3 linked regions of the Struthio camelus genome follow. The protein of the gene in region 3 purifies or fractionates together with the protein of the main gene of each other region. This does not show direct contact. Links are inferred from orthologs where the notes say so. Each region holds a gene or a part of one and is shown on either strand. Other genes may lie near its edges.

What was found.
Region 1: the proteins of MAP4K1 (region 3) and NUDC purify together in Homo sapiens (affinity purification with mass spectrometry; 3 studies listed by BioGRID and IntAct, with this or other methods). This does not show direct contact. The link is inferred for Struthio camelus from reciprocal best matches to the Homo sapiens genes MAP4K1 and NUDC.
Region 2: the proteins of MAP4K1 (region 3) and HSP90AB1 purify together in Homo sapiens (affinity purification with mass spectrometry; 3 studies listed by BioGRID and IntAct, with this or other methods). This does not show direct contact. The link is inferred for Struthio camelus from reciprocal best matches to the Homo sapiens genes MAP4K1 and HSP90AB1.

What each region holds. Positions count from the first base shown.
Region 1 is NC_090964.1:6,807,324-6,811,069, forward strand, and holds the start of NUDC (nuclear migration protein nudC), read right to left. Parts: upstream 2,474-3,746; 5' UTR 2,306-2,473; coding exon 2,210-2,305; intron 1,348-2,209; exon of another isoform or gene 1,217-1,347; intron 700-1,216; coding exon 622-699; intron 1-621. UniProt on the Homo sapiens protein: Plays a role in neurogenesis and neuronal migration. Necessary for correct formation of mitotic spindles and chromosome separation during mitosis. Necessary for cytokinesis and cell proliferation.
Region 2 is NC_090944.1:104,480,883-104,484,628, reverse strand, and holds the start of HSP90AB1 (heat shock protein HSP 90-beta), read right to left. Parts: upstream 2,575-3,746; 5' UTR 2,247-2,574; intron 2,156-2,246; coding exon 2,009-2,155; intron 1,832-2,008; coding exon 1,625-1,831; intron 1,307-1,624; coding exon 1,147-1,306; intron 966-1,146; coding exon 832-965; intron 362-831; coding exon 47-361; intron 1-46. UniProt on the Homo sapiens protein: Molecular chaperone that promotes the maturation, structural maintenance and proper regulation of specific target proteins involved for instance in cell cycle control and signal transduction. Undergoes a functional cycle linked to its ATPase activity.
Region 3 is NC_090957.1:1,128,791-1,132,536, forward strand, and holds the start of MAP4K1 (mitogen-activated protein kinase kinase kinase kinase 1), read right to left. Parts: upstream 2,642-3,746; 5' UTR 2,415-2,641; coding exon 2,316-2,414; intron 1,301-2,315; coding exon 1,243-1,300; intron 1-1,242. UniProt on the Homo sapiens protein: Serine/threonine-protein kinase, which plays a role in the response to environmental stress. Appears to act upstream of the JUN N-terminal pathway.

The sequences.
Region 1 (3,746 bases), on a different chromosome or scaffold from region 3:
TGTTGATATACTGGTAAGCACAAGCAAGAAACCTTCAGAAAGTCTCGCTAACTGATGTTTCAATGCTCTGGTCCTTATTTCACTACAAAGAAACTAGTTAGTTTTACAATTCTTGTGCTGGGTCAGGAATACCTGCTGGATATCAAAGACATTCAGTTCTCTCAGGCCAACAAGGTAGCCTCGATCCTCGGGCTTGCTCTCTGGCGTGTTCAGTCCGTACAAATACTGCAGCACAGAGACAAAGGGGCAGCAGCATGTGCAGGGATGTGGACTTTGTAATTTTTCTGAGATGAACAAACAAGGTAACCTGGGGTTATCAACACTGCAGTGTCTGTCACCGTTAAGTCAGAGCGTCTGGCAGATTTGCTTTTCAAACAGGCCTTTGGCCAGAGCGTGGCAAAAACTTGCACCATTGGTATCATTTGAACAAGCCATCATGCCTCACCTCAGATAGGGGTAGCTTATTATTACCTTGTTTCAGAGGTGTATTTCACCAACATCACAGACTGCTGGTTCCCAGGTGTATTGGGAGGAATGCTTTGAGTTATTCAGGAAGGGAAGTCTTAGCATGGCACAGAGAGTATGTAAGTTAGAATGACTTTTTTTTTTTTTTTTAAATACCTTTTCTGCTACTCCATCTTCGCCACCAGTGAAGAAATCAGTTTTCCGCCTCAGGAAACTAAAGAATGTGTTCACAAGCTGTTTGAGGAAACAGAGGGTAGGGGTTGGGGTAAAGAGGAAAAAAAAAAGAGCAATGAGACCAGATCACTCCCAGTCATCCCCTGTCTCCTCAGTAGTCTTTGTTCTTCTTTTTACTTCCTGCCTATGTCTGTGTTAGGATCATATTAGAGTCAAACCCATTACCGTTTCCCAGCAAAAAAACTGAGGACTTTTGTGGAGATCCAGCTTACGGATTCCCAATTTTCAGAAGATGCATTTTTGTGTTTTACATGAAGAAAGGGGAAGCAGTTCATTCTCAGGCCATCTTCCCTTGGAGATGCATCAACTTTGAAATCCCAAGCTGTTACTTAGACCCATCTGACGCTGGAACTTCTTTTTTAATTAAATATACACATACATGTATATAGATACACGTGTATACTATAAATTCACTTCTTTGGTTGTCTAAGCCCTCAGAGCTTGCAAACCCACCTTCCCCAGCTCTGTGACTTGTTTACTTTTACAAAAGACTAACACGTTTGCTACCCACTAACAGCCTAGAAGCAACGGATGGTGGTCTGCGCCCTGCAAGACATGCGACAAGACAGAACTGCCTGTCAGGTGTCCCTGATGAAGTAGAAGTTGTGAACTGACATACTAGAATACACCTGCAAGAAATAATCTCAATGAGTATGGTTTCTCTTTCTTCTTTTCCAGGAATAATGTCTTTGTCAGTATTTCAATCAGAAGCTTCAGTCCAGTAGGAAGAGCTGTTATTAACATCATTTCCCCAGACCACCTGTGGGTGGGGGATGTTCCCCAGAACTGTAGTAATCTAGCTGCATGTCATCACCTAGACCCTCTGAGCAGCCTCCAGCAAGAGTCACATCAGAAAATGTGAGTGCAAAGAGTATCAGTAATGCAGCTACAGTGAGGGAAGGGAAACTGTATTCATGCTTAGGCATACTTCTGCCTATTTTATGACTGCAGCCAACACATCAGGTCTCACAAGGCAGCTCTCAGACGGTCATGCTGAGAGTGTGACAGCTCGACTTGATCCTCCCCATGCAGTGTCTAGTTTCGCTGCAATACGGAGAGGGATCTGCCTTTCCACACGCCTCTAACGCCTCTAGCAAGCCAACGGTGTTAACTTGAACGAGTGCGAACGACCCACCCATAAAACGCCCCAGCTGCTCAGGGGCGACGAGACGGCCGCGGGAGGCGGCAGGAAGCCGAGGGGCATGGCCGGGGCCCCCCAGGCCCTCATCAGCACGGCGCTAATTAGCCCTTCCTCCGCGCCTCCTGGGCTCCAGGTCCCCCCGGGGGCGCCGAGAGCAGGAACCCCCAACGACGGGGCGCTGGGACACACGTGCCCACCGGGGAGGGCCCGGGGCTCCCGGAGACCCTCGTCCCAGGGAGGCCGGGCCGCGGCTGCCTCCGCCCCCTGCCTCGGGGCCCGCCCCTCCCCCACTCACTCCGCCCCCCGCCCCGGGAACACGTAAAAGCTCCCGCCACGGCCCGGGCTCGGGTCCAGGCCCGGCGGTGCTACCTCGCGCACGCCGCCCTGGTGCTGCTGGGCCATGGCCAGGAGCATGCCGTCGAAGCGGTCCTCCTGCTCCGCCGCCTCCTCCGCGCTCAGCCCCATGGTGATGGTGGTGGTAGGGCCCGCCGCCGCCAACGGCCCCCTCAGCCCCTCACGCCGGCGACCGGAAGCGGAAGCGACGCGAGCGGAAGGCGGTGCGCGAGGGCCCGCGCCGCCCGCCAATCCTGAGCGCCCGGCCGCCCCGCTCTCTTCGCGGATTGGCCTTTGCGGCGTCCAATGTGCCGCGGGGAGGCGGGACCGGCGGGGCGCGGGGTTTGGTTGCTATAGCGACGGCCGGTCTGGGCCTTTCCAGAAAGCTCGGCGAGGCCGCGTGTCCCCGGGGGGGGGGTAGGGGTCAAAGGGCAGAGGGCACGTCACGGGAGGGGGGGCTACCTCCCCGAGGTCAAAGGGCAGAGGTCACGGCCGGGGGGGGGGCCAGCTGCTGGGATCCACCCCCCCCCCCGCGGCCTCGCCCTGAGGGGGCTCCAGCCTTGGGTCTGAACCCGCCTGGTTTTGGCGTGACTGCTGCGGGCAGGCAGCCGCGCTGCCGCTCGGCTCTGTCCCGGCGCTGGTTCCGCCAGGGCTGCGAGGAAACGTCCCAGCGCTTTCTTGACCGGGGCGCGGAGGCTTAAAATTCAGCCGGTGTGAAGGGAGGTGACGGAAAGCAGCCTTGTGGAGCGCTGCCGTTGAGCTGCAAAGAAGCCGGCCCGGTCGCCCTCGGGGATCTGCTTATCTGCAGGGACCGAAGGATCCACCTTCTCTTGTGTTCGCTGCTCTCTTCCGTGCACGGCCCCTGCCTGCCTCTTGGCTCTTTTAGGTCTTCCTGCAACTCTTCCCACGCCCCCCTACGTAGGATTTCCCTTCCATTTACAGCACCGGTCTTGTAGCCAGCCTTTCTTCGGGATGAGGTGCCTTAACCCTAAGGAGGGTGAGGTCTTCTGACTCACTGGCTCCTTCCTGCTATAGAAATTCCTCACTTTGTTGCTGGACCCCTTGAAATAAGTAACCAGGTGCGGCCAGACTTTTCTAGACCAACTTCTGTTCATCAAGTGATAAAACCATCTGGCAATTCAAGGCAAAAATGTAAGAACCTGACCCTGCCCTGCCTCGTATTTCCTTTGTGACACAAGATCCTTTGGGCCCTGCCTCAGATTGAATACTATAATCTTTTTAGTTCACTGGGTTTCTCGTCCTTAACTGTGACAACATGAGTCCCTTGTCAACAAGGTTGGGCAAACATCTGCTGATAAAACGACTTCCAGGTTGCTCTTCCCAAGGCCGGAGCATGCAGGCCGTTTGCACCAGGGTCCTCGCTCCAGACGAGTGCCGTGTGTGTGTGTGTGTGTGTGAACTTCTTGGCAGTGACACCTGCCGTATAGTGCTGCCTGATTACACGGCGGGGCCTTGGTGCCATGGTACAGGCTGGGTTAATGACTTTGTTTAAACTGTTTGGGTAATCGTGATAAGGCCGCCCAACCTGCTGTCCTGTCCCCGCGCTGCTGGC
Region 2 (3,746 bases), on a different chromosome or scaffold from region 3:
TAAACATGGAGTGGAAAGGAATCCTTTCGTCTTTTTCAGCACCCACCTTGACAGCCAGGTGGTCTTCCCAGTCATTGGTGAGACTTTTGTAGAACTCGCCATATTCCTCCTGGGTGATGTCATCAGGGTTGCGTGTCCAGATGGGCTTGGTCTTGTTCAGCTCCTCCTGGTCAATGTATTTCTCCTTAATCTTCTTGGTCTTCTTCTTCTTCCCTTTATCTCCCTCTTCCTCCTCATCAGAGCCCACATCCTCGATCTCGGGTTTCTCCTCATCCTTGGAGGCTGACTCCTCCTCCTCCTTCTCGCTTTTCTCCTCTTCTGCTTCATCATCACTAATCTCTTTCTCACGCTCTTTCTCCAGCTGCCAGGAGAGGAACAAGAGAAAGTCAGGGCCATGAGCCCAAGCTTAGCCCCAAGCAAACACTATCAGGAGTCCTTTTGCCCCAGAGAAGAGGAACACACGCACTCCTGAGCGTAGCTGAAATCAGCTCCAAGAGACCTCTCATTGCTCACAGGACTAAGGGCTGGGTCTGAGGAGATGAAGTGAGGGGCAGAAAACTCTCCTGTCTGCAAGGCTGGTTTACATGATCTCTACACGCACAGAGATCAAGGGCCAGGAGCATGACTGGATGCCCCCCACCTGCAATAGGCCCCCAGCCTCAAAACACCTCCGGCCGAATAAGGCTGGGGACACCGTCGCTCAAAACACAGCAGCCAGGAACTGGAAGGGAACGGAAGACACACTACTCTAGTTTTCTCCATCTTTCTGTTCCCAACATACGTCTCTGCTCTAGCTTTCCAGTTGGTCCCCAAAGTCCTTCCCTTACTTACATAGAGTGTAATAGGGTAGCCAATGAACTGGGAATGTTTCTTCACCACCTCTTTGACACGCCGCTCCTCTAAGTACTCTGTCTGGTCCTCTTTCAGATACAGGATCACTTTAGTGCCCCGTCCAATAGGCTCACCTACAGTGTAGAAAGAGAAACGTTAGCGCTAGAGGCATAGGGCAGCTCCTTAGGCCCAGCCACTACCAGGTACTTCACGTTAACAAACTCGAGTTTGTTAACTCAAGTCCAGCCCAGGAGAACACCACAAAGGGGGGCTTTCTGGATGACAGAGATAAACTTACCTTTGTACAATACATACCATGGTCAGTCCGAACAGTGAAGGAACCCCCGGCAGATGACTCCCAAGCATACTGCTCATCATCATTATGCTTAGTAATAACCACAACCTTCTCAGCCACCAGGTAGGCTGAGTAGAAACCCACACCAAACTGCCCAATCATGGAGATATCTGCACCTGCCTGCGGAAGCAGAAAACGACAAATAAAGAGAGAAGGACGCAAAACATGCCTGCAAGTGATTCGCAGCAGCAGAGAACTAGGTCAGCAGGCAGAGATAAAGTGGGAAGTGCCCACAGGCAGGCAGCCCTACCCTGAGCTCCTCCCTGCTACAGGAGAGGTGGGGAAACATACGTAGGCAAGCCAACAGCTCCCACAGCAAGACAGAGGCAGGGCTGGGTGCTGACTGTCGGGCATGCTTCTATTGTAAGGAGGGGGTACACCCCAGTGAAAGTCTAGGGCCCAGGCTGCAAGAAGCCAACACAGCCAAAGGCAACCCACCTGCAGGGCTTCCATGAAGGCCTTGGTACCAGATTTAGCGATAGTGCCCAAGTTGTTGATGAGATCAGCTTTTGTCATCCCAATACCAGTGTCCACCAGGGTGAGCGTGCGGTCTCGCGGGTTGGGCACAATGTCGATCTTGAGGTCCTTGCCGCTGTCCAACTTGGAGGGATCAGTCAGGCTCTCGTAACGGATCTTATCCAGCGCCTAGGAGGGGGAGAGCAGAGCGCGTGCCTTGGCCTCGGGACTTCGCGGCCACCTCCCGCGGGCCGCCCCCGGCCCGGGCACCCCGGGAGGGACACCAGCCCGCCCCAGGGCCCGGGGAAGGAGAGGAGGGAGGGCAGGGGAAGGCCCCACGGGCGGGTGGGCCGAGGCGAGGCTCACGTCGGAGGCGTTGGAGATGAGCTCCCGCAGGAAGATCTCCTTGTTGGAGTAGAAGGTGTTGATGATGAGCGACATGAGCTGGGCGATCTCCGCCTGGAAGGCGAACGTCTCCACCTCCTCCTCCCCATGCTGCACCTCCTCAGGCATCTGCAAGGCAAGCACAGGCCGCTGGCACCGGGGGCACGGGGCGCCCCGGGCCGCGGCGGGGCGGCAGCGCGGGCGGGCCCGGCGCCCTTACCGCGGGCGGCGGCCGTTCCACACGCGGCGGCAGCTGACGGACCTAGAAAAGAGCAGCCGCCCCCTCCGACCCCTTTTTATAGCGACGGCGCCGCACCGCCCGCCGGCTCCTTCCGCCTTAAAAGGGCCTGGAGAGGCGCGGCGGGTCCCTGCGGCCGGGAGGCTCCTGCCTCACGCCGCATCCCGTCCGCGATGAAGGGAGAGCGAGGTCGCTTCTCCGAAGCGCCGTGCCCCTCCGTTGGGGGCCTGCAGGGTGGGTACCACAGACACCCCCGTGCTCCCCCTCCCCCCCACTGCCAGCCGCTGGGTGGGCCCCACTGCAACGCCCTTTTAACCGCGGCGGCGGACATGACTCGGGCACCTTCGGCCCGAGCGCCGCCCCCAGCTCCGCCCCGCCCCGCTGCCGCAGCTCCGCCCCCGGGGGGGCGACTGCCTGCCTGCCGCCGTCCCGGGGGAGGGACCGGCGGCCTTCACCGCCCCGCCGCCGCCATTCTCCGCGGCCTCCGCCCCCGGCGGGGTAGCGGGAGGGACTATTTCCCGCGGGCGGCGGAGGCGCACTGACGGCGGGTGGCAGCGAGGCGGCTCCTTCCAGAGGCTTCCACGGGACGCTCCGGCTGGGCAGGGTCGGGTCGGTGCCCACCCGGGGACCTCGGCCCGGCCCGGCCTGCCGCTCTCTCGGCTTCCCCCTGAGCCCCAGCGCCGGGGGAGAAGGGCCGAGGGGGGCACGGCCGCGGCCTGCCCGTGCGGGGACGCCCTGGGTCCTTCCCTGGCCGTGCTTGGAGCTGTGAGCAGCTCCTCAGCTCGGCTGATGGCGCGTTATTGTCACAGTCATCAGGATGCCCTCAAGTGCTAGAAGGGAGATGAGCTTTTTTAATCCCCCCGTTGGTGTTTCCTCGGCAGTGCCAAGGTGCAGAGCGGGGATCTAGGCTGGGGGTTGTATAGGAATGAGCTGGGGCGGCAGCAGACACGGTGCCAGAGGCCCAGGGCAGAGCTTGTGTGCCCTGCCCCCGCCATCTTCCTGGGGGTTTACGGCCGAGCAGAACAGCATGGGGGCTTCCTGTTTTAACTTCCTCGTGTGTCAGGATCTTTGGCCATGTGTGAAACACCAGCTGCAGGCTTGAGCACCTGTCGGTAGCTGTGGGGTGGGTGGGGGAGCAGCAGGGAAAGCCAGGGAAGCGTCAGCCCTTTGGGTAGTTTACAAGGCACCTTTTTATCCATATGCTACGTTGCTGGCAGCTGTCATGCGCAGGGCTCTTCACTCGGTGCAGGGAGACAACAGCTCCCCTGAGGCCGAGAGCCAAGCGCCGAGCAGCTGGCTCCAGGCGCATCTTTGGCTGATGAACTCGTGGCTCTGCTGTCCTGACCTTTCTGAGACTGTGGGTGCAAGCCAGGAGCGGACCGGGGCAGCGCGGAGGGGGAACACGCAGGATGGAGGAGACAGGCAGCAGCGGAAGGGCTTTGCGGGAGGACCTGCTGCAGGGGTCACGTCAGGGCTGAGGGG
Region 3 (3,746 bases):
GGGGCTCAGGGGCTTCTCAGGGGGTATCAGGGCATCCTGGGGGGAGCAGAGGGTATTGGGGAGTCCCAAGGGGGTCCTAGGTGCATCTCGGGGGGGGGGTTGCTGGGATGTTTTGCAGGGCACCAGAGGGTCTCTGGGGCATCTCATGGGTTATTGAGGGATCTTGGGGGAGTCCAGGAGGTTTGGGGGGGGTCTCATGAGGCATCAGGGGGGTCCAGGAGCATCACAGAGGGGTTTGGAGGGTCTCTGGGGCCTCTCATGGGTTATTGGGGGATCCTGGGGGAGTCCAGGAGGTTTGGGGGGGTCTCATGAGGCATCAGGGGGGTCCTGGAGCATCACAGAGGGGTTTGGAGGGTCTCTGGGGCATCTCATGGGTTATTGGGGGCCTCAGGGGGGTCCAGGAGGTTTGGGGGGGGTCTCACGAGGCATCAGGGGGGTCCTGGAGCATCACAGAGGGGTTTGGAGGGTCTCTGGGGCATCTCATGGGTTATTGAGGGATCCTGGGGGAGTCCAGGAGGTTTGCGGGGGGTCTCATGAGGCATCAGGGGGGTCCTGGAGCATCACAGAGGGGTTGGAGGGTCTCTGGGGCATCATGGGTTATTGGGGGCCTCAGGGGGGTCCAGGAGGTTTGGGGGGGGTCTCATGAGGCATCAGGGGGGTCCTGGAGCATCACAGAGGGGTTTGGAGGGTCTCTGGGGCATCTCAGGGGTTATTGGGGGGCCCCAGGGTGGTCCAGGAGGTTTGGGGGGGTCTCATGAGGCATCAGAGGGGTCCAGGAGCATCACAGAGGGGTTTGGAGGGTCTCTGGGGGTATTAAGGCGTGTGGGGGGAGTATTAGGGAGTATCCGGGGTATTAAGGAGCATCAAGGAGTATTAAGGAGCATCAGGGGAGGGTATTAAGGAGTGTTGGTGGTATTAAGGAGTACCAGGGGGTATCAGGGAGTATCGAGGGGGTATTAGGGAGTACCACGGGGTATTAGGGAGTACCAGGGGGGTATTAAGGAGTATCGGGGGGTATTAAGGCTTGTTGGTGGTATTAAGGAGTACCAGGGGGTATTAGGGAGTATTGAGGGGGTATTAGGGAGTATCGGGGGGTATTAGGGAGTATCGGGGGGTATTAAAGGATATGGGGGGTACCGAGGGGTGCCAAGGGGCATCGAGGCGCTCGGGGGGGGCAGAGGGGTCGGGTGGGGGGCTCCCGGACGCCTGGGCCCCTCGGGTGGGTACCGCCCCCCCCCTCACCTGGCTCCATCTTGACGACCTTCATGGCGGCCAGCTCGCCGGTGTCTTTGCTGCGGGCCTGGGGGGGGGAGCCGGGGCTCAGGGCCGGGGGTTGGGGGGTGGGTTTGGGGTGGGGTGGGGGGACGGGGTGGGGGGTGGGTTTGGGATGGGGAGGGGGGACGGGGTTGGGACGTGGGTTTGGGGTGGTGGGTTTGGGGTGGGGTGGGGGGACGGGGTTGGGGTGGGTTTGGGGTGGTGGGTTTGGGGTTGGGGGGTGGGTCTGGGGTGGTAGGTTTGGGGTTGGGGAGTGGGTTTGGGGTGGGGTGGGGGGACGGGGTTGGGGTGGGTTTGGGGTGGTGGGTTTGGGGTTGGGGGGTGGGTCTGGGGTGGTAGGTTTGGGGTTGGGGAGTGGGTTTGGGGTGGGGTGGGGGGACGGGGTTGGGACGTGGGTTTGGGGTGGTGGGTTTGGGGTGGGGTGGGGGGACGGGGTTGGGGTGGGTTTGGGGTGGTGGGTTTGGGGTTGGGGGGTGGGTCTGGGGTGGGGTGGGGGGACGGGGTGGGGGGTGGGTTTGGGGTGGGGTGGTGGGTGGGGGGACGGGGTTGGGGGTGGGTTTGGGGAGGGGAGGGGGACGGGGTTGGGACGTGGGTTTGGGGTTGGGCGGTGGGTTTGGGGTGGTGGGTTTGGGGTTGGGGGGTGGGTCTGGGGTGGGGTGGGGGGACGGGGTTGGGGGGTGGGTTTGGGGTGGGGTGGGGGGTGGGGGGACGGGGTTGGGGGACGGGGTTGGGGTGGGGTGGGGGGACGGGGTTGGGACGTGGGTTTGGGGTTGGGTGGTGGGTTTGGGGTGGTGGGTTTGGGGTGGGGTGGGGGGTTTGGGGTGGTGGGTTTGGGGTTGGGGGTGGGTTTGGGGAGGGGAGGGGGACGGGGTTGGGACGTGGGTTTGGGGTTGGGACGTGGGTTTGGGGTGGTGGGTTTGGGGTTGGGGGGTGGGCCTGGGATGGGGTGGTGGGTGGGGGGACGGGGGTGGGTTTGGGGTGGGGTGGGGAGGGGGGGGACATGCCCGGCCCCCCCCCCGCCCCCGGGGCGCCCGTGTCACCTTGTAGACCTCGCCGTAGGTGCCACCTCCGAGGCGCTGCAGGACCTCGAAGTCCTCCTGGGGGTCGCGGGCGGAGATGCGGAGGCGCCGGGGGTCCATGGCGGCGGGGGCGGTGGCGGGGGGGGGGGGTGTCCCCCGTCCTCCCCTGTCACCACCCCCCCCCACCCAACCACCACCCAACCGCCGCTGCCCCGGGGTGGGGGGGACGCGGCGCGGGACGGCGCGGGAGGTGGTGGCCCTCCACCACCACCACCACCACCACGGCCACCGCCACCACGGCCACCGCCGCCGTCGCCGCCCCACAAGGCACCGCGGCGGAAGGGGAAACTGAGGCACGGCCCATCGGGGACCCGGGCGTCCGGGGAGCCTCGCCTGGCCCCACCTCTCTCTTCTTGGGGGAGGAAGGGCCCAGGCGTCCGGGTTCACGTCAACCCTCCTCAACCTCCCTCAAGCCTGCTTTAACCACGAGGCCTCGCCAGGGTGGGGAAGGGACCCAGGCGTCCGGGCTCGGCCCGCCCCCTGCCCCAGTATGACGCCAGTTTGGCCCCAGTGTGGCTTCTGCGAGCCCAGCAAAGTCCCAGTAGGCCCCAGTATGACACTGGTATCGTCCCAGTTTGGCCCCAGGCTGGCTTCACTGTGAGCTCCAGGATGGTCCCAGTGGGCCCCAGTATGACACCAGCATCAGCCCAGTTTGGCCCCCCACTCTGGCCTCACTGTGAGCTCCAGGATGGTCCCAGTGGGCCCCAGTATGACACCAGCGTCAGCCCAGTTTGGCCCCCCACTCTGGCCTCACTGTGAGCTCCAGGATGGTCCCAGTTTGGCCCCAGTATGACATCAGTGTCAGCCCAGTTTGGCCCCCCACTCTGGCCTCACTGTGAGCTCCAGGATGGTCCCAGTGGGCCCCAGTATGACACCAGTATCGTCCCAGTGTGGTCTGCGAGCCCAGCATAGTCCCAGTAGGCCCCAGTATGACACCGGTATCGTCCCAGCATGGCCCCCAGCACGGTCCCAGTATTGTCCCAGTTTGGCCACAGTGTGTTCCCAGTATGCCCCAGTATGGCCTCCGTATCAGCCCAGTGTGGCTTCAGCGTGAGCCCAGGCTGGTCCCAGTGGGCCCCAGTACGACACCAGTATCGTCCTGGTGGAGTCCCCCCAGCCTGGCCCTCTGTGTGAGCCCAGTATGGTCCCAGTATAATGCCAGTATCGCCCCAGTGTGCCCCCAGTCTGAGGGCCGCTGGGTCCCAGTTTGATCCCAGTGTCCCCCCCCCATCCCAGTCTGGGCCCAGTTTGGCCTCAGTGTGGCTCCAGTCTGGCCCAGTGTGACCCCCCCCCCCAAGTGGGCATCCCAGTGGCCGTCCAGTCTGGGCCCAGTCTGGCCCAGTGTGACTCCCTCTAGGGCCCTCCCCCTCCCAGTTTGACCCAGTTCGGTCT